Arabidopsis thaliana: one gene and its partners. The protein of the gene in region 1 interacts with the protein of each later gene in a pairwise test. Each region holds a gene or a part of one and is shown on either strand. Other genes may lie near its edges.

Evidence for each region.
Region 2: the proteins of CLH1 (region 1) and AT2G42290 interact in a protein complementation assay, tested with the Arabidopsis thaliana proteins (one large-scale study listed by BioGRID).
Region 3: the proteins of CLH1 (region 1) and CNGC9 interact in a protein complementation assay, tested with the Arabidopsis thaliana proteins (one large-scale study listed by BioGRID).

The regions. Positions count from the first base shown.
Region 1 is NC_003070.9:6,800,847-6,808,388, forward strand, and holds CLH1 (chlorophyllase 1), read right to left. Parts: upstream 4,247-7,542; 5' UTR 4,078-4,246; coding exon 3,808-4,077; intron 3,655-3,807; coding exon 2,950-3,654; 3' UTR 2,640-2,949; downstream 1-2,639. Other genes in the region: AT1G19660 (Wound-responsive family protein), read right to left, coding at 1-5, 143-217, 355-420, 523-579, 677-726, 826-996, 1,097-1,394; AT1G19680 (RING/U-box superfamily protein), read left to right, coding at 5,063-5,393, 5,660-5,691, 5,773-6,723, 6,816-6,836; AT1G19690 (NAD(P)-binding Rossmann-fold superfamily protein), read right to left, coding at 7,079-7,346, 7,432-7,542. UniProt on the Arabidopsis thaliana protein: Catalyzes the hydrolysis of ester bond in chlorophyll to yield chlorophyllide and phytol. Shows a preferential activity toward chlorophyll a. Does not seem to be required for chlorophyll degradation during senescence.
Region 2 is NC_003071.7:17,614,504-17,621,592, reverse strand, and holds AT2G42290 (Leucine-rich repeat protein kinase family protein), read left to right. Parts: upstream 1-1,856; 5' UTR 1,857-2,120; coding exon 2,121-3,423; intron 3,424-3,963; coding exon 3,964-4,601; 3' UTR 4,602-4,833; downstream 4,834-7,089. Other genes in the region: AT2G42300 (basic helix-loop-helix (bHLH) DNA-binding superfamily protein), read right to left, coding at 1-51.
Region 3 is NC_003075.7:14,924,578-14,932,070, reverse strand, and holds CNGC9 (cyclic nucleotide gated channel 9), read left to right. Parts: upstream 1-1,715; 5' UTR 1,716-1,931; exon of another isoform or gene 1,932-2,068; intron 2,069-2,353; 5' UTR 2,354-2,389; coding exon 2,390-2,457; exon of another isoform or gene 2,458-2,605; coding exon 2,606-3,194; intron 3,195-3,295; coding exon 3,296-3,508; intron 3,509-3,598; coding exon 3,599-3,909; intron 3,910-3,993; coding exon 3,994-4,342; intron 4,343-4,425; coding exon 4,426-5,097; 3' UTR 5,098-5,237; downstream 5,238-7,493. Other genes in the region: AT4G30570 (Glucose-1-phosphate adenylyltransferase family protein), read left to right, coding at 120-170, 251-316, 410-649, 727-1,365; GGP3 (Class I glutamine amidotransferase-like superfamily protein), read right to left, coding at 5,358-5,453, 5,567-5,899, 6,133-6,453; AT4G30540 (Class I glutamine amidotransferase-like superfamily protein), read right to left, coding at 6,996-7,103, 7,298-7,493. UniProt on the Arabidopsis thaliana protein: Putative cyclic nucleotide-gated ion channel.

The DNA of each region.
Region 1 (7,542 bases):
GGTACCTAAAGAGTGAGGATTAAAACCATTTTTCATAGTGATCACGTAGTTTGTATCCGGTTAAGATGATCTCATGGAGAGGCCTCTGTGTGACTGTGCCCCTAGAAAAGAAAGAATTGAGCATATGGTAATATAACTATACCTTGCATCTAACAGCTATATTAATTGCATCAGAAGGACGAAGATCGAAGCTGACACAATCCGACTTATCCCCCACCTGCAATTCCATTCATAGCAGATTTAGTAAAAGTTTAAAACAGATGGAAGTGAGATACTAGTAATGGATAACGAGTTTCGGGACAACTTTTTGAAAAAATGAATGGAAGATGCATTTCTATGCCAGAAGTTACAAACCTTTGAAAGGTATAACTCTGCGAAATATGCCTCGTGAACTCTTGTGGTAACTCTAACAAGCCTAACCTGCAGAAAAAGTTGGTGTTTGGTAACGTTACTCACATAAGAATTTGTATTGCTAAAGGGAAAATAACAGGATAGAGAAAACAGAAAAACCGAAAGGCGTACCTCATAACCCATTTTGTCTACCATGTCCTTCACCACTTGATACATAGTGGGCCTTGCCTACAAGCAGTAACCAAAAAAAATCCATAAACCCTCTCTTCACAACTCTTGACTGATTCAAACAGAAGCATAACGCAAAGAATAACAGAAGCCCTACTATTTGAACATTTGTCATTGCTGCCATAAGTAACACACTAGGCATCTCCACTGCAATAAACAAAAAACAAAGAAAGGAGATTCAAAACACAAGGCAAATTGGAAATCTCAACACACATAAACAAAAGAATGAGTTTTGATATCACATACAGACGATAATGGGGAGAAGAAGACCAGTTCCATCTTCCATTTTCAGCACAATTGCAGAATGTGGAGCATAATTTGGAAGATTCCCTCCTTGAGGATTATTGTGGACACATCGAAGTTGCCTCCCATCCTTCATCTTCACCATGAAACCATCTGGTCCACTTTTTACCTCAACTTATATACAAAACCAACAAGAGAACATCGATGATTAGAATCAAAACACAAGAAGAATAGAGAGAACTAATGGTATAAATACAGATTTAACCAGGATTACCAGCTTCCAATACACTAGACTTGACATAATCCTCATCGTTCTCGTTGAAATTCTCTGCTGTGCTTCCGGTACCATCAGAGTGCGAGCTGAAAAGACATTTGATACTCTTATACCTCCGAAGATGCAGACGAAGATTCACTGTAGCAGCCTGAGACTTGTCATTTTTGGTCTGGTTACCCCAGAATTGTTTTCTGAGACTCCTAGTTTTCGAAACAGAGCAGTTGACAAGTAAAGCAGAGACACCCAATTGTCTGGGACGAACACTAGGGCAAACAACCGGTGCTTGAAGCGACCTCATCTTCACTCTTTTGATGCAGAACCCAGAAACATTCAAGTGTCAAAATTAAAACTTTTAGTATCCAACATCACCCCATCTCTTAACCCTAACTCGGTTCACAAAATCACAAAACTACTTTACTTGCAAGAGAAATAACTGATCACCACACAAATACAATAGCTAAAAAGGTCGGGAAAAAAACAAAACATGTTGATCAAAACAAGTGAAAACTATAGTTTATATTATATCACCTAGTAGCTAAATTGACCACGTAATCACATAAAATCTGATGAATCTCTACAATCACCTATGATAGAAATACAAGAAAGAGTGAAACTTTACCGAAAATTTTCGTAAGATTCGATTGGATAGATCAACAGAGGAACTAAAGGAAGAATCCCACACAGACAGATCAACAAAGAGCAGAGAGAGAGGAAAAAATAGAATCTGTGACTCTGTCAATTTTATCGACTCATGTTTGTTTCAATGACGAATATACCCTTTCACCAATATCTTGCATTTGATTAATGGTCGTGGTGAAGGGATAAAAATGAGAATTCAGTGTCTAGCCGTGATGACGTGAACCGTTAACTCGTGGAAAACTGACAAGTCATCAAGTAACAGTCACCGATTAAATTAAGCCTAATGGACGCCACGTGTACGGCGCCTGTGTCAGGGATGGTTATGGATAAGGTGGTTTTTTTCTTTTTTTCTTTTTGTAATGTTTGGATGTGACTTTAGTGGGATGTGTGGGAAACTGTTTTATCTACTTTGAAAGTAAATGACCAATATGGGCCTAGGCCCATTTAAATATCTACCGGTCCAAGCTTTATGACTCGATCCTTTTCGGCTCATCTCAATTCCTTTCTTCAGCAGGTCAGCTGGTGGTTATAACTAACAATCTTTCGTATATACTAACAATTATAACAAACACACGTGGAACTCGAGAGTAAAATAACCACCACATACACAAGAGTCACGAGACTCACGACGCACCTTTCGTATACAGACAATCTTAGGACCATTTGCCTACAATAAAACCTTAAATGTGGTTTTGTCTCCATTTTGCTGTATCGTTGTCGTAGTGCAGGCCCAAATTAATTTGTCATTGTTGACTTGTTTGTAGAGTTTGGAGCTCTCATTAAATGTTGTAGTGCAGGAGCAAATTTTTCCTTTCTCCTTACGAAAATAAGATCGAAATTGCGATATGTTACAAATACCATTAACTTTAGAATACAACAAGAAAGTTTGAATAAGGGTATGTTACAAAGATATAGAGTTTGTGACGGAGTTAAACCAAATTACATGAATCATTGCAACGAAGTTGAAAAGCTTGGTCACATTTCATTATATAAGAATTATATAGAGAATTATATAGCTATTTAAATGTGTTTAGGTTTTAGTATAAGAAGAAGCTGTAAAGTTTTGGGGTAAAACTATAACAAATGTTTTGATCGAGTTTAATAAAAATACACATGCAACTTAGGACATGAACAATAGCTAGCTTGGAGCTAGAAAACATTGATAGGTTTTTCAAATATTCAAGACCCCTCTGATAATAGTACATAACACAAATCTAGACGAAGATACCAGAAGCTTCTTCCAACTCAGGTGAAGGATCAAGCTTGGCCGGAGAAACGGAAGGATCCTTCACAATCAATCGAATCTCCGCTTTTTCACCCCACAAACTATACTTGAGAAACGCAACCACAATTCCACCTACAAAGCTCCTCATCTCAGACTTTTTTCTTTGCCCATTCTTACACATACAACCGGCCATAAACCCAACAAAACCGGGCAAATCATCGTCCAACATATCCATATGTCCGTAATCCGCAGCCACGAAATGGGCTTTCGTCGCCTTACACTCTTTGTAAAACTCCTCATGGTTTAAGTCCGTTGGTGCGCATGGTGGCATCACGTTGTTCCACTTCGGTCCGAGTCCGGTTCCCACCACTGCAACCGGTATGTCCAGCTCGAAAGATTCCGGTTTATACGTTAAGATATGCGGATCGGTTCTAATGTATTTGTTAGTTCCTGCGACTGGATCAATTCCTATTAGAGCTGAAAACGTGATGGATGGGTCTAATGTTGCGGCATGGCCTAGCGCAACCGCAAACGCCGTTTTCCCACCGCGGCTGTGGCCCACGAGTGAGGTGTATTTTCCATTAGCATTTACCGAAGTTGGTAGGTGAGCTTTGAGGTTTTCCGATGCCCAGTTTATCACACTTCCAGCATCGTCCACTTCCACTTGCCCTCCCGGCGGCAATAATTTGCACAACTGTCATTCAAGAATATAAAATTAACTTATATCTTTTCACGTAACAATCAATCTCAATTAATGTACATTTTGTTTTACATGTTACATGTTACATACCGTAAGTTATCCTTTTAAATGATTCATAATTATTTTTTGTATAGTTAAATTATGTACCTGTGGGGCTACAAGAATGTAACCATGCGAAGCGATGTGGTTAAGAACGTCAGAGTAGAAGTAGTTGCGAAGATAAAAGCCATGGAAGAATAAAACGACGGGATAAGTTCCGGCGACTGTTGGACAGGTGATTCTCACCGGTTTTGGCGGTGCTGTTGAATCATTTTCCACCGGATCCACCGGTATCTCGGTTGTCGGGAGGCTGCCTATCTCAAAAGCCGCCGGAGTTACCACAGAGGAAAACGTTGGACTGTCCTCTATCGCCGCCATTTGTATTAAACTAGATAATTAAAGAGTTGTGTTGAAGATTTATGTATGAATCCTTCGAACTTTAGCTAGTTGTTTTGTATTTATAGGGGGAGAATGTTGATTTTTCTTATCCGATTCATTATAATTCTGTGGTTCTCTCGGCTTCTCATCGTAGTTATAACAAAATGAATTAAATACTTTCGAAAACGATAAATGCATGGGCTGCGTAAACAAAAGAGCATGTGTTGATTCAAATTATTACAAGTTAGTTGGTATACAATTACTCCATGCATTTATCATTTTCGGAGTACAATTTAATTCGTTTCCCGAAAACGATGTGTCCATAAACACATACCAAGACTTACTAAGTACTACTAAAAAATATAATCAAATTGCATTAGGAAACATATTGTTATGTTTGTTAAAAAAAACATTTTGTTATGTTTGTTCAGTAAAAAAAAAAAAAAAATTGTTATGTAAAAAAAAAAGAAACAAATTGACCAAAAAAGTAAAATTTGACCAAAAACAAATAGTAGCACAAGAAAAACAGAGAACAGAAAAAGAAGAGAGGAAGGGTGACGTGGCACAATTTCCCTGCGACGCACCCAACCTCCGTCTCTCTCTCTCTCAGATCGGCGGCCATCTCCGTCGAGTAATTGAAATCTCTCTCAGCCGTTGGATTCGAATTCCGCCGCATCTTCATATACCTCGTTTCAATCCTGCGGAACCCTAGTTGCTCTGGTGAGTCCCTGGTGAACCCCCGGATTTTAGAATCATCTATTGTATTTACTTTAATTCCGTTCCATTGATGATTTCTGCGTTAGATTTTGAGGTCTCTGCCTTCACCTCTATGTATTATAATGGCTCTGATTCGAAGTTCACATTCTGTTTGTTTATATGCAGAATTGTGGTTTGCTACTGTGATAAGTTCTTCAGTGGTAGATTAGGAAGCACCACCAATGGAGATTGTGTAAGACATATTCATTACAGCTCTCTTTTAAGGATTATGGGGTCTGTTTGCTGTGTGGCTGCAAAGGACAGAAATGTTCCCAGTGGAGCTATTGATAATTCAGTGTGTTCACCATCGTGGAGTTTTCGACGGGACAACAGGAGGCGTGTAGCTGATGAGATTAAAGATTCATCTAATCATAATGTTGGGAGTAGAGGTATTGACATCGATAAGTTGTCGTTAGGCTTAGAGAGAGGACCTCCGTCATCTGAAACTGGGGGTTTAGCTACTCTTGGCTCTCAGAAATCCGCAGACTCAGAGATGGGCACAGCTTCGATGGTTACAGCTCCTTTAGCGGGTACAAGTTTGGCGATTCGATCTCCTTCAGGTATGTTCGTTCAAACACTTTTTTTGTGGGGAAAGTGTAGAACTTTCAGTTTCATTGTTTGGGAATATACTGTTGAGTCGATTTTAGTTCCTTCGTGGATGTTCTTTTCCAGTCTACTCAATCCAGTCAAAGGGGTAACAACATTTATTTGGTAGGATTAGATCGAGAGACATTTCATTTTTTGGTAGAGATCATTTCAGCTTTATTTTCTTACTGTAATGAAGGATTTTTTTCCTGTCTCTCATGCATCTATTTTCTCTGGGCAGATGTATCCTTGGCAAGTCCTGTTCGTGTTGAGGTGAGATCATTACTTACTCCAATCAGAGTCTCTTTTCGTCCCTTCAGAGTCTCTTAACCCTCTCGTCTTTTAATTCTTCAGGTGAAGAATATAGTTGACTCATCAGATATTGTTTCATCAGTTTTACCAAATCCGTCAAGTTCCACCTCGGTCTCTGATCTTCCTTCAGCTCACACACATTCACTTCCTCCCAGATCAACTCCGTCTAGACGTGCTCGAGGTTCACCTGGGCAGCAGTTGTTTAGGCAGGTTTCTGATAGTCAAACTTTGGGATTGAAATCTCCCAATAATTACTCAACATCTGAAGGAAGGTCGTCCTTTGTGCTTTCGACCTGTAGTAATGACACTGCCACTGGGTCCCATTTTGCTTCTTCTGAAGGTGGCTGGTCCATAAACGCCTTTTGTGAGCTCGTGGCTCAGTCTCAAAGGGAGAGATGGTCTTTTGATAATGAGCACTTAGGTTCCGGACGACGAAGACTAAGTGGGTGTAGTAGTAGCAGATTCTCATGCTCCCCTTCTGTTGATCAGCAGACTTGTGGGCGTTGCTCAAAGCTTTTAACTGAAAGGTCTCCAGTTGCCAGGTTTGACCTTCCAATTCCTGCTGTTCTAGCGTGCGGCCATGTTTACCATGCGGCATGCTTAGAGACAATGACAAATGAAACAGAGAAGTATGATCCTACGTGTCCCATATGCACAGAGACACAGGTTACTAAATTATCGAGGAAAGCTCTAAAAGCCGAGGCAGAATTGAAGGCAACGAGTTACAAAAGGTGTAAGAACCGTGTGGTAGATAGTTATGTCCGCAGTGAATGTGAGGATCTTATGTTCCAGAATCTAGGGAAACGAGAAGGAAAAGGTCTGAAGATGGATCCTAGTTCGAATACCAAAGGCTCCACGTCTAAGTCTTTTATGAAATGGCACTTCGGTTCCGTCAGCACCAAGTGGAGTAAAGCCAGGGATTCTACCTCGAAGAAGAGCTTTTGGTCCAGACATAGTAATAAAAGATTAAGTCATTCTTTTTCAAGCGTTGAGGTAAAATATCCATACGAGACTCAATATGTTCACTTTCCATCTAAACAAAGTTAAGTTTCTCAACTGCTAACACTTCTTTTTCCGCATTTCAGGGCCTTAATCAGGCAACATGACATAAAATAGGACTGGCTTTGGATTAGAGAAAAGCTCCCTTAAACATTTTGTATCCCTTTTTACTTTTATTCCATGTTTAAATGTCACATGGGGAAAATATGTGTACCAATGAAACAAACTTGTCATTTTGTAGAATGCAGAAGAAACAAAAAAGGATAAACTAAAAATCTATCTTTACTAAAGAGTCCCTAATTCTCCACAGGAAAGATTCAGATCAGCGGAATTTAGTCCTGTGGTGTGCTCAAAAACGGTTGTCCATGTTCTCGACTATGCTTTGCAGTCCTGACTTATACGAAGGATATAACAATTTCACTCCTAGTTTATCCTTCATGCGTTCGTTGCAGACTCGTTTCTCGCCTCTCAATGAACTTTCCTCCCGAGATTCATACAGAAATGGAAATGGTTTTGTGGTGATATTCCCCGGCCAACGTTTCTCGATCAACTCCAAGGCATATTCAAACACCTCTTCTCTTGCTGCCGGATCATCATCAACAATATTGTAGATCTCCCTGCCAAAATGGTTGATTCATCCGTCTCAATGGTTCAATCATCCATCACAAAAGAATGATCATAGATGAAGAGGGATACACAAACCCTGATGCTGGCTTTTCAGTGGCAGCTTTAAGAACTTGGCATATATCTTCAACATGAACTCTCGACGTGAATTTACGGGACGCTCTTCTCTTTTGACCTTCAGACAAACGC
Region 2 (7,089 bases), on another chromosome or scaffold:
CACCGGCCCAACAACGCCGGATCTAGCTCTGAAACCTTGGGTCAGATCCATTAGCCGGGAAAATCACACTTAAACCGGAATAAACCGAGTTGAATGAAATTCAGTGATAACCAGAACCGACCGACTTGATCAACTCGTTCCTTTTAGAGCTTTTAAAATCGAGAGAGAAAAAAAGGAATTTAATTTTTGTCAGTTGGGGAGTATTTTGACAGTTAACGCGAAGGAGGTTGCATCAATGGCGGTATTAAAGAGAGTAGCGAATGAAATATTTCTCTCTCTGTCCCTCTCTGTGAGTTTCTCAGAGCTTGCTCAAGAAAAGAAAAAGTCTTCTTCTTCGTTAAGAGTTTATTATATCTGTGTGTGTTCTGAGAGCACAAGAGCCATTTGGAGTGGGAAGAAAGCAACGTTAGCTTTGGAGTGCGTCTGTTAATAAAGCCAAATTTTTAGAGAAAGGAAATATCCAATTTATGGGGTTTGGAGAGACGATGATAGAGAGACGCTTTTGAATTGGGCCTATTGGGCTTTATTCGGTAGTATTTTTAATCCCTGTGTAATGGGTCACTTGTTTTTTTCTGGTTTAGTGGTTACTAATCACTATAGTTGGAGCCATAAATAAGGTCATTTCACTATGATTCATTCTTTTTTTTTCCTTTCCTTTTTAATTTTTATAGACTCTGGTGAGTAAATTTTCAAATTTTGACTGGTCGTTGTTCACCCTCTTATTTTATTTTATTTTGTTCAAGGTCGTTATTGTTCAGCCTCTAAAATTACTCTTTTTATAAAAAATAAGCTTGAGATGAATCAGAGTGCCACACTCGAATAAATGAAAACGACAAGACTTTCCGTCCCCACCAATTATTTAAGTTACATGGATCTAAAAATTCGGCCGTTTTTAGTGATTTATTGGGCCACATGGACCGTTGATTGAGATTGCCAAAATTGGCCCATCTCACTCACTGCATTGGAGTTCTAGTGTTTGTACCAAAAACGGTAAGATGTTTGCGTACATTGACCGCAATTTGTAGCCCTCCCAGTTCTTGCACGACAAGGTTTTGTAGGATTTTAAGGTACTACTATTTCCTCTTGAAAGTTCTTTAACTGAAAAAAGTAATTGTTAACAAAAGTCGGATGTGATGATATGATGCATATATTTATTTGATGTTGTGAATAAGTTGAATTTGGGCCGTGACAAAGTGCTAACCCAACAACAATGGGACTTGTGACTCTTCGTGTATATTTCGGAATTGCCCATTAAGACTAGGAGTAGAGGAGCCAAAAGTGGCATATTTTCAAATGCATCTTTGTGTGGTTACTTTGTCGGTTGGTTAATGATTTTTCTCTGACACAATCCACTCTCTACCGTCTCTTCCCTCCTTTAATTTGAATAAATATGACATCCTCTATCCAATTCAAATTCATATGCAATAGGTCGAGTTCGATTATTTTCAATTATTCTTAAACATATTTTAATCCTTTTTTTAGTTACTGCTGAATCTTGTAAAAGTAAAACAATTATCGACCCAGTGGGACTGTACAGTTTTTTCATGGCTCAAGAGTGAAGAGGTCCTATACGAGTTAAGATTCTATAGACTATAGCATTTAAGATAACACTTTGTTTATTTTTTGTATCCCAAATTTGTTGTAACTTTTTTTTTTGATACCTATATATAGTTTTAATGCTATAAAAATCCAGTGACCCTAGATATCACCAACGGATACACACAAATTAAAAATGTAACAACAACCCACCTGCATCAATCAATAACTAAACTTCAAAAAGTTTCAAAAATAACCACAAAATGTCAAAAACCCAAAACGCAAATCCCAATATATCACATTTTTAATTAGAACTGTAGTGTATATATTATTAAAATTTCAAACCATAGTATATGGACAAGAATTCAAAAAATTGATCATGACTACATTACACCACGTTGCTAACATGAAACCATAAAAGAATCATACCTCGGTCAAATCTCCCATTATTCTTCTCCTTCGTCTTCACTGTTTACCGTTTTTCCTCTGCAACTTCTCGTTGCCTCACACTATATGAATCATCTGTAATTTGTAGCTTCTTTAACAACCAAAAAGTTTCAAGATTCCTATATCCTAAGCAAAAAATGAAGTTACCATCGATTCTTTCACTTGTTGTTTCTTCCATCTTTCTCTGCATGAGCTTTTGCTCCTCTCTCAATTCCGACGGTTTATCTCTCCTAGCTCTCAAATCCGCCGTCGATAACGACCCGACCCGAGTAATGACCCACTGGTCTGAATCCGACCCGACTCCTTGCCATTGGTCCGGAATCGTCTGCACAAACGGCCGAGTCACAACTCTTGTACTCTTCGGAAAAAGTCTCTCCGGTTACATTCCATCAGAACTCGGTTTACTCAACTCGCTAAACCGGCTTGATCTAGCTCACAACAATTTCTCTAAAACCATACCGGTTCGTCTCTTCGAAGCAACCAAGCTCCGGTACATCGATCTCTCTCACAACTCACTCTCCGGCCCAATACCGGCCCAAATCAAGTCCATGAAGTCACTCAACCACCTTGATTTCTCCTCCAATCATCTCAACGGTTCACTCCCTGAGTCACTCACTGAACTCGGAAGCCTCGTCGGAACCTTGAATTTCTCTTTCAACCAATTCACCGGCGAGATTCCACCGTCGTACGGTCGATTTCGAGTTCACGTCAGCTTAGATTTTAGTCACAACAATCTCACCGGAAAAGTACCTCAGGTGGGATCTCTGTTGAATCAAGGACCAAACGCATTCGCTGGAAACTCTCATCTCTGTGGCTTCCCATTGCAAACGCCGTGTGAAAAAATCAAAACCCCAAATTTCGTCGCTGCAAAGCCGGAAGGTACTCAAGAACTCCAGAAACCAAACCCTAGTGTAATCAGCAATGACGACGCAAAGGAGAAGAAGCAGCAGATCACCGGTTCAGTAACCGTTTCTCTGATTTCTGGAGTTTCGGTTGTAATCGGAGCTGTTTCTCTCTCTGTATGGCTGATCCGGAGAAAACGAAGCTCCGATGGGTACAATTCGGAGACAAAGACGACGACGGTGGTTTCAGAGTTCGACGAAGAAGGGCAAGAAGGTAAATTCGTAGCGTTTGATGAAGGATTCGAGCTTGAGCTTGAGGATTTGCTGAGAGCATCGGCTTACGTGATAGGCAAGAGCAGAAGCGGGATTGTGTATAGAGTAGTGGCGGCGGAATCGTCCTCCACCGTTGTCGCCGTTAGAAGGCTCAGCGACGGCAATGACACGTGGCGATTTAAGGATTTTGTGAATGAAGTTGAGAGCATTGGTAGGATCAATCATCCTAACATTGTACGGCTAAGAGCTTACTACTATGCAGAGGACGAGAAGCTTCTCATCACTGATTTCATTAACAATGGCAGCTTGTACTCTGCCTTACATGGTAAAACACTAATCTTTTTCCTATTTTGGTGCTAATTCTGCATAAATCTACCACTAGTTATAAGGTTTTTATGTGTACTTGCTCTGACTATAAAGTGGAGAGCTTTTTTTTTGTCTTTGTCTGATTGTGTTGTATTGACTAACATGTTCGCTTCTTCTCATTGTTTTATTGTTCAAAGCTTTACTGTGTTTACATGTGTTGAAACTTGAAACAGTAGAACTCGATGACAAGCATACAGATTTGCTTCTGTGTAGCATTATAGTATGTGGTCCTGTTATTTTCATGGGAAAACTTAAGTCGAGAATGAGTTAATGGTAGTCTAGAGAGTGTTTAATGTGACAGAAAGAATATTTCTTTTTGGTTCTTAGACAGAGATTAGTTTATGATCCGATAGATGTGTGTTTTTCATAGTTAACCTCTGCTTGATCTGCCTTGGGAAGTTAGTACTCGTTGAGATTTTTCCATTTTCCTGAGATATGCTGTGCTTTGAGTATCATGTATCACTGGTTTCTGAGACGGCATTTGAATTTTTTTCTGTAGGTGGACCTTCGAATACTCGGCCTACACTCTCTTGGGCTGAGAGGTTATGTATAGCTCAAGGGACTGCTCGGGGTTTGATGTATATACATGAATACAGTTCGAGAAAGTATGTTCACGGCAACCTAAAATCAAGCAAAATCCTGTTAGATAATGAGCTGCATCCTCACGTCTCAGGATTTGGTCTCACACGACTGGTTTCCGGCTATCCCAAAGTCACTGACCATTCACTATCATCCATGACGCAAAGTATAGACCAAGGATTTGCCACAAGACTCTCAGTCTCAGCTCCTGCAGCTGCTTACCTTGCACCCGAAGCCCGAGCTTCTTCTGATTGCAAATTATCTCACAAATGCGATGTTTATTCTTTTGGTGTGATTCTATTGGAGCTGTTGACTGGTCGATTACCTTATGGTTCCTCTGAAAACGAAGGAGAAGAAGAACTCGTGAATGTTTTGAGGAAGTGGCACAAGGAAGAGAGATCTTTGGCTGAGATCTTAGACCCAAAGCTTCTGAAACAGGATTTTGCGAATAAGCAGGTTATTGCAACCATCCATGTCGCTTTAAACTGCACGGAAATGGATCCAGATATGCGTCCTAGGATGAGATCTGTGTCTGAAATTCTAGGTCGGATCAAATAGGAATTAACCACTTCTTAAAGAGCCGGGATTAATTAGTTGTGTATGTATTAGTCTCAGGCTAAGTGGAGTTTTGTAGTTTCTATGGCAAGTTTAAAAGGGTTTAAGGTTTATTTCCGGATCAAGTGTCTGTCTCTGTTTATCATCACATGTACCTTGTGTCTTAAGGAAGAGAGTTTGGTTGTGAAATTATTTGCCCCTTCTAGAATCTTACACAGATAATATTAATAAGGAAATTATGATAAAGATCTTGTTTCAAACCTTATCAGGCTTTGTAAGTAAAGATTAAAATACGAAAAAATGTTGACAATCCTTGCAATTTGCATGATTGATCCTATCTTTCCAAAACTCAAAAGAATTATATAATATCACCAAGTGGGTTTATAAATTATACATGTATTTTAAATTGTTTGTTTTCATTGGTCAAAACTTATATTCGATTTTGATAGATGCATAGATTTTTTGAAAGATCATGGTTAACAAAAAAAAAAAAAAGAGACTCAATAGCTCTTTTGTGAGCCTGTTCTAATTAAATATTATGAAAACGGGAAAATAGATTATACTCAATCGCATGATTGCATATCTCTTGCGCATGGGGGATGTGAAATGAAATAAATTTGAACCGATCGTTAGCAATAACATAAGAAATGAGAAAGAAAGGCAAAATCAAATCTATTTCGAATATAATTTTTTGTCAGAAACATCAAACATGATCAGATCCCACCGTTGGTCCTTTGTTCAAATTGACAACAAAAAGTATGACTTTTATAAACCAAAAAGAGAGAGATCTTCATGGCAAAACATATCTTGCCCCCAGCACGATTGATTAGTTCCAAATTTAGCAGCCCACTCGAGAAAATTAAATAAAAAAGGAGAGAAACACTTGCTTAATATAGAAGTTTCTTTTTGGAAGAAAATAAAAATAGTGAAGCCCCCTTTTTGAGCTTGTTGACATTATAAAAGCCAAAGCTGGACCACGATTCCCCACTTCTATCAATGTAATCTATTTTTTCTTAAGAACATAAAAAGATTTTTAAATAAATTGATGGGAATCGTTTTGTTTTTTATATTTATACTACTATCAAACAGTATAAAAAACAAAATGTACACAACAACATTGAGAAACTAATGGGGTCTCACGTGTCCATGTTCCCATCCACATAGCCACGGACGGGATTTGCTTTCTAATTTTCCACATTTCTTTAGGCCAAACCTTTATAAATGGCACTTGATATTTGCTTCTTTAATTTCAATCTCTTTTTTTTTTTCTTTTTTTTTTGGGTGTTTTTCCCGTTGTATCCATTGCATTTAGAAGAAAATTGTTGAGACCACTGATTTTCTTCGAAAAAGAACTTCAGCAATGAAGAGTTTGTTTTATGCACGTCTTTACAAAAAAAAAAAAAACTAAGAGATTATGACCTGCATTGAAGTGAGAGCACTTGAGAAAACTTGTGTGTGATGATTTGGAAAATAGTTGTTATAGATAACTAATCATATATTGGTATATATGGATTCCTTTGAAGAAATACTGGTTTGATTTGAACAAAAACATTTGTTACGTATGATTAAACATACTTTTCATTGCACGGTGATACGAAATTTTGATTCAGTTGAATTAGATCAATGTAGTTTTGAGTTATATTTTTTATGTTTGCCCATTCGTTAGTGATATAAAACAAAGTATCATCAGTATATAGCTAGTTTCGAGATAGTATGTACAACTTTTAAATATTAATTACCTATGCTTAAATAGTAATAGTATTATGTATGTGCATGTGCTTTGTACATACAATTTTGTCTTCTTGTTGATTAATTATTAAACAGCTCGAAGTTTTAAGACTATGTAGCTTAGCCTATGTCAATGTCATCAATCTATATGCAATATATATAGAGCCTCAGGCACATAAACCGTAGTCCCCATATAAAAAAGGGAATGAAACAGCTAATAACTCCATAGAGAATAAATTCACATTCAAAGCAAATTCACCACCCCAATCTTCTCAATGGTTCGGTTTCTTTTTTCAATTCTTACATTGTACTAAAAGCTAAAAATTCAGACTGATACGATACGAATAGGTTTTTGAAAATATAAAAATTAATCAATTTCCATTAAAGGGCTGAATAGCTAAAAACTCCATAGAGAACAAGTCGCTTTATTGGATTTAGATTTTAAAAAGACGGCGCTCGTGAATTATTAAAGTTTAAACTAAGATAAGATTTAAAGAGATTTAGAGGAGACGTAATCTGGTGTATATCGTTCACATAGAGTCACGTCACTGTATAATCCATCGACCACTAAGGTTTTAGAGTTTAGTTTCAAATCTTACTTTTTCATGCAGGTGTACCGTATGTCACACAGATTATAGTAGTCGCCAACTTACGTTCCCAATGGGTGATAACGGCGTCAACGTCCTCCGTCACGATCGTGTCGTAAGCTGTACACTGTATAGGTTCCGTGAACCTTAAAATCGGATTTGGAAAGCTACGTACG
Region 3 (7,493 bases), on another chromosome or scaffold:
TAATTCTTGTTGATTCTCCCATAGATGACAGTAGATCATCTGGTTATATTTATGCAGAATTGAAGGCTCTTATTCTAGTTGGAGGATTCGGAACCAGATTGAGGCCACTTACCTTGAGCATGCCTAAACCACTTGTTGATTTTGGAAACAAACCCATGATTTTGCATCAGGTAGGTTAGCTTCTTCTTCTTCTTTTGTATTTGCTCAAGTTTTCACAGTTTCTTTTGTTCTCATTATGATGCATTCGCAGATTGAAGCTCTAAAAGGTGCTGGAGTGACTGAAGTTGTATTAGCTATCAATCACCAACAACCAGAGGTACATACATTCATTGTCCTTAATAACGATACGATAACAATTGAAATTCTTCCGTGTCATCCTCCTTCTCCTTGTGTGTTTGGTATTACTCAGGTCATGTTGAACTTTGTGAAAGAATATGAGAAGAAGCTAGAGATTAAGATTACATTTTCCCAAGAAACTGAACCGCTTGGAACAGCAGGGCCTCTCGCGCTGGCTCGGGATAAGCTGGTCGATGAATCAGGCCAACCCTTTTTTGTACTAAACAGCGATGTTATCTGTGAATACCCATTGCTTGAGATGATCGAGTTTCACAAGACTAACCGTGCTGAAGCATCAATCATGGTGACCGAGGTAGTCAAACAGGAGCATTTTCTGCATTTTGTGAAGTTTATCTTTCATCTGTTAATAGCATTTTCTGATATTAACAGGTTGATGATCCTTCTAAGTATGGTGTGGTGGTTACAGAGGAAGGTACAGCGAGAGTTGAAAGTTTTGTCGAGAAACCGAAACATTTTGTGGGGAACAAGATCAACGCTGGGATATACCTCTTGAGCCCATCTGTTCTTGACAGGATTGAGCTGAGAAGGACTTCGATAGAGAAAGAGATATTCCCTAAGATAGCTTCAGAGAAGAAGCTTTACGCGATGGTACTACCTGGTTTTTGGATGGACATTGGTCAACCGAAAGATTACATAACCGGGCAAAGAATGTACCTTAACTCTCTAAGAGAGAAAACTCCGCAAGAACTGGCCACAGGGGATAACATAATCGGGAATGTTCTCGTGCACGAAAGTGCGGTTATAGGAGAAGGTTGCTTGATAGGACCTGATGTGGTGATTGGTCCGGGATGTGTGATTGATTCAGGTGTAAGATTGTTTGGTTGTACTGTAATGCGCGGTGTGTGGATCAAGGAACATGCGTGTATCTCTAATAGTATCGTGGGATGGGATTCAACCGTTGGAAGGTGGGCTCGAGTTTTTAATATAACGGTTCTTGGCAAAGATGTTAACGTCGCCGATGCAGAGGTTTACAACAGTGGGGTTGTTATCGAAGAGCAAGGTCTGTGAAACCAGAGCCTAGACCTAGATTAGTTAGTTCCACTGTTTCCAGAGTCTTATGAACCGCAATATTCTTACAATTTAAAACAGATACAAACTCTATGGTAAACCATATCATAAACCGGTTAAAAATGGTATTCGACACCAATAGAGAAAAACGTTTTTCAGATCCATCCCTAAGCAAGTTGTGTATATTTCTTTCGTAAATGTTTTGAGACATTCTTATAAGGGACATATAAATTATTGTAGATAAAGCCTATGTTTCTTAAACACGAAACTGTGATTTATTAATAGACTATAGTTTGGTGTATGTAATTAACGTTGAGAAAAATGAAAGACGTGACGGCAGAGAGAGAGAGAGTGGACCCGACCCGGACGGCACGGAGACACTTTCAGTTTCTTCTTCTTCTCTTCTGTCTTTGTGATATTTCTCTCAAAATCAATATTTTTTCATCTGTGAAACGACTTCGTCTCCTCCCACTCCATTGTCACTTTCTTCTTCACCCTTCTCTCGTCTCCGTCTGATTTGGCGTGTAACTTCTTTCTACCGTAATTCTCCTTCGTCTTCTTCTCTGGTATATCTCTTGCATTCCCTCCTAATTTCTTAGCCAATTACTGTTTGGAATGATCTTCATTTTGTACTTCCCATTGCTTGATTTTGGTTGACACCTTTCTCGTTTAAGATCGTCTCGTTTTCATGCTGAAAACTCAAGTATTTAGTTTTTTCGTTTGTACCCTTTTGTTGATGTTTTGGTTTGGGGAGAAAATGTGGTTCCTTTCAAGTTTTTTCCGTCAATTTGAGTTCTCAGGTCAACGAAAATGGATGGATGTTCTTAACCCATTAACCAAGTTTGATTTTTAGAGAGATTCTGTAAACAAACAATAACATTTTTTGTGCTTGAATTATTTTTATATTTATTGCAAGTTTAGGATTTTGCTGCTTGAAATGATTTTGATCATAAATGTTTATTACATTTTCTTATGTGTGTAAAAACAGGTTTGGGATTCATGAGTTGAGTCACAAGGAAAAAGCATGTTAGACTGTGGCAAAAAAGCAGTCAAATCACAAGTAATCAGTGGCCGTCTCGAGAAGTTTGTAAGGTAACTCTCATTATTGTATATAGTTGATCGAAATTTAACATGATGATATCATTCTAGCAGATTCAGATATTGTTTAGCCAAAAAGGACATTCCTTTACTTCAGGTTTGAAACTAAATGGATATCTTTAGTTTATTTTGTTCTTCACAGGTTGGATAGTATGGATTCTAGGTACTCGCAGACTTCTGATACTGGTCTAAACAGATGCACTCTCAATTTACAAGGACCAACACGTGGTGGTGGTGCTCAGGGAAACAATGTATCTTCTGGTTCCTTTAAGAAAGGGTTTAGAAAAGGTTCTAAAGGTCTTTGGTCTATAGGAAGATCAATTGGTTTAGGGGTTTCACGAGCAGTTTTTCCTGAAGATCTTAAAGTATCAGAGAAGAAGATTTTTGATCCACAGGACAAGTTTCTTTTGCTCTGTAACAAACTGTTTGTTACTTCTTGCATTCTCGCTGTGTCTGTGGATCCGCTCTTCTTGTATCTTCCGTTTGTTAAGGATAATGAGAAATGTATCGGTATAGACCGGAAGTTGGCTATTATAGCAACAACGCTGCGGACAGTAATTGATGCGTTTTATCTTTTTCACATGGCTCTTCGGTTTAGAACAGCTTTTGTCGCCCCTTCTTCTCGGGTTTTTGGTCGAGGCGAACTTGTGATTGACCCTGCACAGATAGCAAAACGTTATTTGCAGCAGTATTTCATCATTGACTTTCTCTCTGTGCTTCCACTTCCACAGGTAATAACAGAAATGCCTCTCCCAGTGTTCTCTTATCTTCCATTGTTTCTTTGTTCTCTAAATTTTTATGACTAGTTTATGTTATTCTTTGGATTTTTCAGATTGTAGTTTGGAGATTTCTTTACATCTCTAAAGGTGCAAGTGTGCTAGCAACAAAGCGGGCATTGCGATCTATCATTTTAGTTCAATATATTCCAAGATTCATTCGGTTGTATCCTTTGAGCTCAGAGTTAAAGAGAACAGCTGGTGTTTTTGCTGAAACTGCTTGGGCTGGTGCAGCTTATTACTTGCTACTCTACATGCTCGCAAGCCATGTCAGTACATACTATCTTTGGTAGCTTTCCTCTTATATTCTCAAAAGATCCATTCATCACTCTCTCTTTTTTCCCTTATGTTTTTATCAGATTGTTGGGGCTATATGGTACTTATTGGCCTTGGAACGTTATAATGGATGCTGGACCAAGGTTTGCAGTAATAGCAGCTTGGACTGTCACAGAAACTTCCTGTTTTGTGGTAATGAAAAAATGGATGGTTATGCAGCTTGGACTACCATCAAAGATTCTGTTCTGCAATTAAATTGCCCAGTTAATACAACCGATAATCCTCCTTTTGATTTTGGGATCTACTTAAGAGCCTTGTCCTCTGGCATTGTCTCATCTAAGAGCTTTGTCTCTAAGTACTTCTTCTGTTTATGGTGGGGACTTCAGAATCTCAGGTACGTAATTCTAAAGAATCCGTCTTCTATAGTCATTATGAAAAGTCTCTGTTGCATTAGTAACTTTGTCGATGTCAAATGCAGCACTCTTGGTCAAGGGCTTGAAACCAGCACATACCCTGGAGAAGTTATATTCTCCATAGCACTTGCCATTGCTGGACTTCTTCTCTTTGCTCTTCTTATTGGAAACATGCAGACTTATCTTCAATCCCTTACAATCCGGCTTGAAGAAATGAGAGTGAAAAGACGTGATTCAGAACAGTGGATGCATCATCGAATGCTTCCACCGGAACTGCGAGAACGAGTCAGACGATATGACCAGTACAAATGGTTGGAGACACGCGGAGTTGATGAAGAGAATTTGGTTCAGAACCTCCCAAAGGATCTGAGAAGAGATATCAAACGCCATCTCTGTCTGGCTTTGGTTCGGAGGGTAAGTTGAATCTTACTTTAAAAGCCTTTTTCTAATCTTGATTCATAAATGAAACCATCTTGTTCTATTTTTCTTATGGAAAGGTTCCATTGTTTGAGAATATGGATGAGAGGCTGCTCGATGCAATCTGTGAGCGGTTGAAGCCGTGTCTGTACACAGAGAGCTCTTATTTGGTTCGGGAAGGCGACCCGGTTAACGAGATGCTCTTCATTATCCGTGGTCGGCTTGAGAGTGTGACCACCGATGGCGGAAGAAGCGGTTTCTTCAACCGCAGTTTGCTTAAAGAAGGAGATTTCTGTGGGGAAGAGCTTTTGACATGGGCACTTGATCCCAAATCTGGTTCCAACCTACCATCCTCTACCAGAACCGCAAAGGCTCTAACTGAAGTAGAGGCTTTTGCTTTGATAGCAGATGAGCTCAAATTTGTGGCTAGCCAGTTCAGAAGACTACACAGCAGGCAAGTTCAACACACATTCAGATTCTACTCGCAACAATGGAGAACTTGGGCTGCTATCTTCATACAAGCCGCGTGGCGACGATACGTGAAGAAGAAGAAACTTGAGCAACTCAGGAAAGAAGAAGAAGAAGGAGAAGGATCAGTTACTAGCATCAGAGCGACGTTCCTGGCTTCAAAGTTTGCTGCAAATGCACTTCGTAAAGTTCACAAGAACCGTATTGAAGCAAAGTCTACTATAGAACTTGTGAAATATCAGAAGCCTTCAGAACCTGATTTCTCTGCTGATGATACTAGTTGACCAAATTTTACCAGAAAAGTGCTAATGTCTATGAACGCTTATAACTTGTATAACTCGGATTGAATTTTATTGTTTGATTTGTGTTGCTACATTAAGATAAAGAAAAAGGTGGTAACATAAAAGATTATTTGTGATTGTGATTTGTTTTATATGTGTTTCTTTCTGTTTCCTGAAGATAAAATATGAAAGATACTGCAGGTTTATTGAGAGATGACATAGTTTTTGATAAGTTCATACAGAGATAACATAGTCTCGGATCATCAACCTTTCAGGAAGTTTTTGCAGAGCTTCTGCCATAGAATCCTGTCTGGTTGCGCAGTCTCCATCGTACTCTTTGCCTTATCCGCAAACTCTTGCTGAAAAAAATCAATCACATTGCAATTCTTGATAAGGCTAACTACATTGAGAACAAGAACACTCCGAAATGTTTATCTAGCAAAAATAGAGATCATAGAGAAGGAGAACAAACCTCCATCAGCTTCATATTAAGGACTCGGTCCACAATCTCAAACAGAATCTCTTTGTTATACTCTGGATGCCCTTGAATACAGAAAAAATGATCTCCAATAGAGAACATCTCGACGTTACATACCTCAGAAGAAGCAAGTAGTGTAGCAGACTCAGGAAGTTCCAACACTTCATCCTGATGACATTTTATAATAGCTAAAGATGCTGGGACCTCAACGTCTCCAAAGTAACCTCGTAGTTTTTCATTGTCTTTCGCTATGGTTATGCTTCTAAGTCCCATATCTGCACCTTTGAGTGCTCTTCCTATCTTCCCACCTTTAACTCTAGTAATTATCTATAGCCAAAAGAACAGAGACACAATCCAGAACAAAGCAAACGTTCATCAACAAACACTCTCTCCATCAATAAACCAACAATATAAAGATATCAATCTAACTATAATGGCATTGGAACAACTCGAGTCTGATCTAAAAATTGAAATGAGCTAAATGTGAGTCAATCTAAACCCTAAGATTCCAACCGATCAGATCCAAATCAGAAATTGAGCAAAACTGAATTGAAAGGAACCTGGTGGCCGAAGCAGATGCCGAGAACTTTCTTCTTCATGTGATCAAGTTTCTGACAAACTTCGCAAAGCTTAACAATCCAATCGGCGTCTCCGAAAGCATCATGTGGACTACCACTGATAACGAAACCGTCGTACTTGTCTAAATCATTCTCGTCGGGAAATTGTCCGTCGATGACTCGGAATAGATCCCATTGCTCACCTTCTTCGCCGAAAGTTGAAACGAAGACATTGAAGTAACCACCGTAAGTCTTCTTCACGAACTCTGAATCACACGTCGCTAAAAACAAAGCAAACCTCTTCTTCTGCTCAATAACCACCATCTTCTTCTTCTTTCGTCTCAGAGATCACACCGATGAAGCAAAAGGAGAGATAGAGATTCGGAGAATGGAAATGTGTAAGTTAGAGACGACGACGGGGAACAAGATCAGACACGCCAAGTGAGATTTTTGTTAAATAAAGAAAACAGAAAAAAAATAGTCAAAAATTAGTTGAAAAAAAAAGAATCACACATCGAGATTAGCTGTCTATAAGATGACAACTCCACCTAATAATTTATCTAAGTTTAGAATCACATTTATTTGTTTACCGTAGCTCGATTTTACGTGTATTTTTTGAAGATCAAATAATCTATTTATACACGTAACCTATACCCACTTATAAATGACTAAATTAAAATTACAAATACCAGTCTTCTTCTTTTTGTTTATCGGTAATTTATTATTATTATTTCTTATAGCAGTCGGTAATTTAGTTAAAAGCGAAGATATGTTACATTATGTGATGACCATGACCATATAATAGTTATGAAATTACACAAACGTAGTAGAATTTATTTAGACCATGAACGTGGAAACTAAACCAATTAGTGGGTTCTTCGTCCTTTCAGAAAATTCTTGCAAAGCATGTGCAAACGCTGCGTGTCTGGTTCAAACTTCTTGATCGAATCCTTTGCTTTCTCCAAAATTTCCTCCTACATATTTTTTAGTTTAAAAAATCGTTTTAGAGATTCCTCACCCTGGCTACATATATATATATATATCCTGAACAACGGAATTTAAATTGGGTACGTAGCGGAATAATCTCCCAAGGGTTGGGACATTAGAAGACCGACCAATCTATACATAATAGGATTAATAAAACCAAAGATAGACGTTTAAAACGAACCTCAACAAATTTGATCTTGTGGACACGATCAATGATCTCAAGGAGAATCTCTTTGTTATACTCGGGATGACCTTGAAAGCAAAGCAAGTGATCTTCCACTGAGAATATCTCAACGTCGCATTTGTCTGAGAATCCTATGACTCTAGCCGACTCTGGAGGCTCAAGTACTTCGTCTCGATGACATTGTATGATCGAC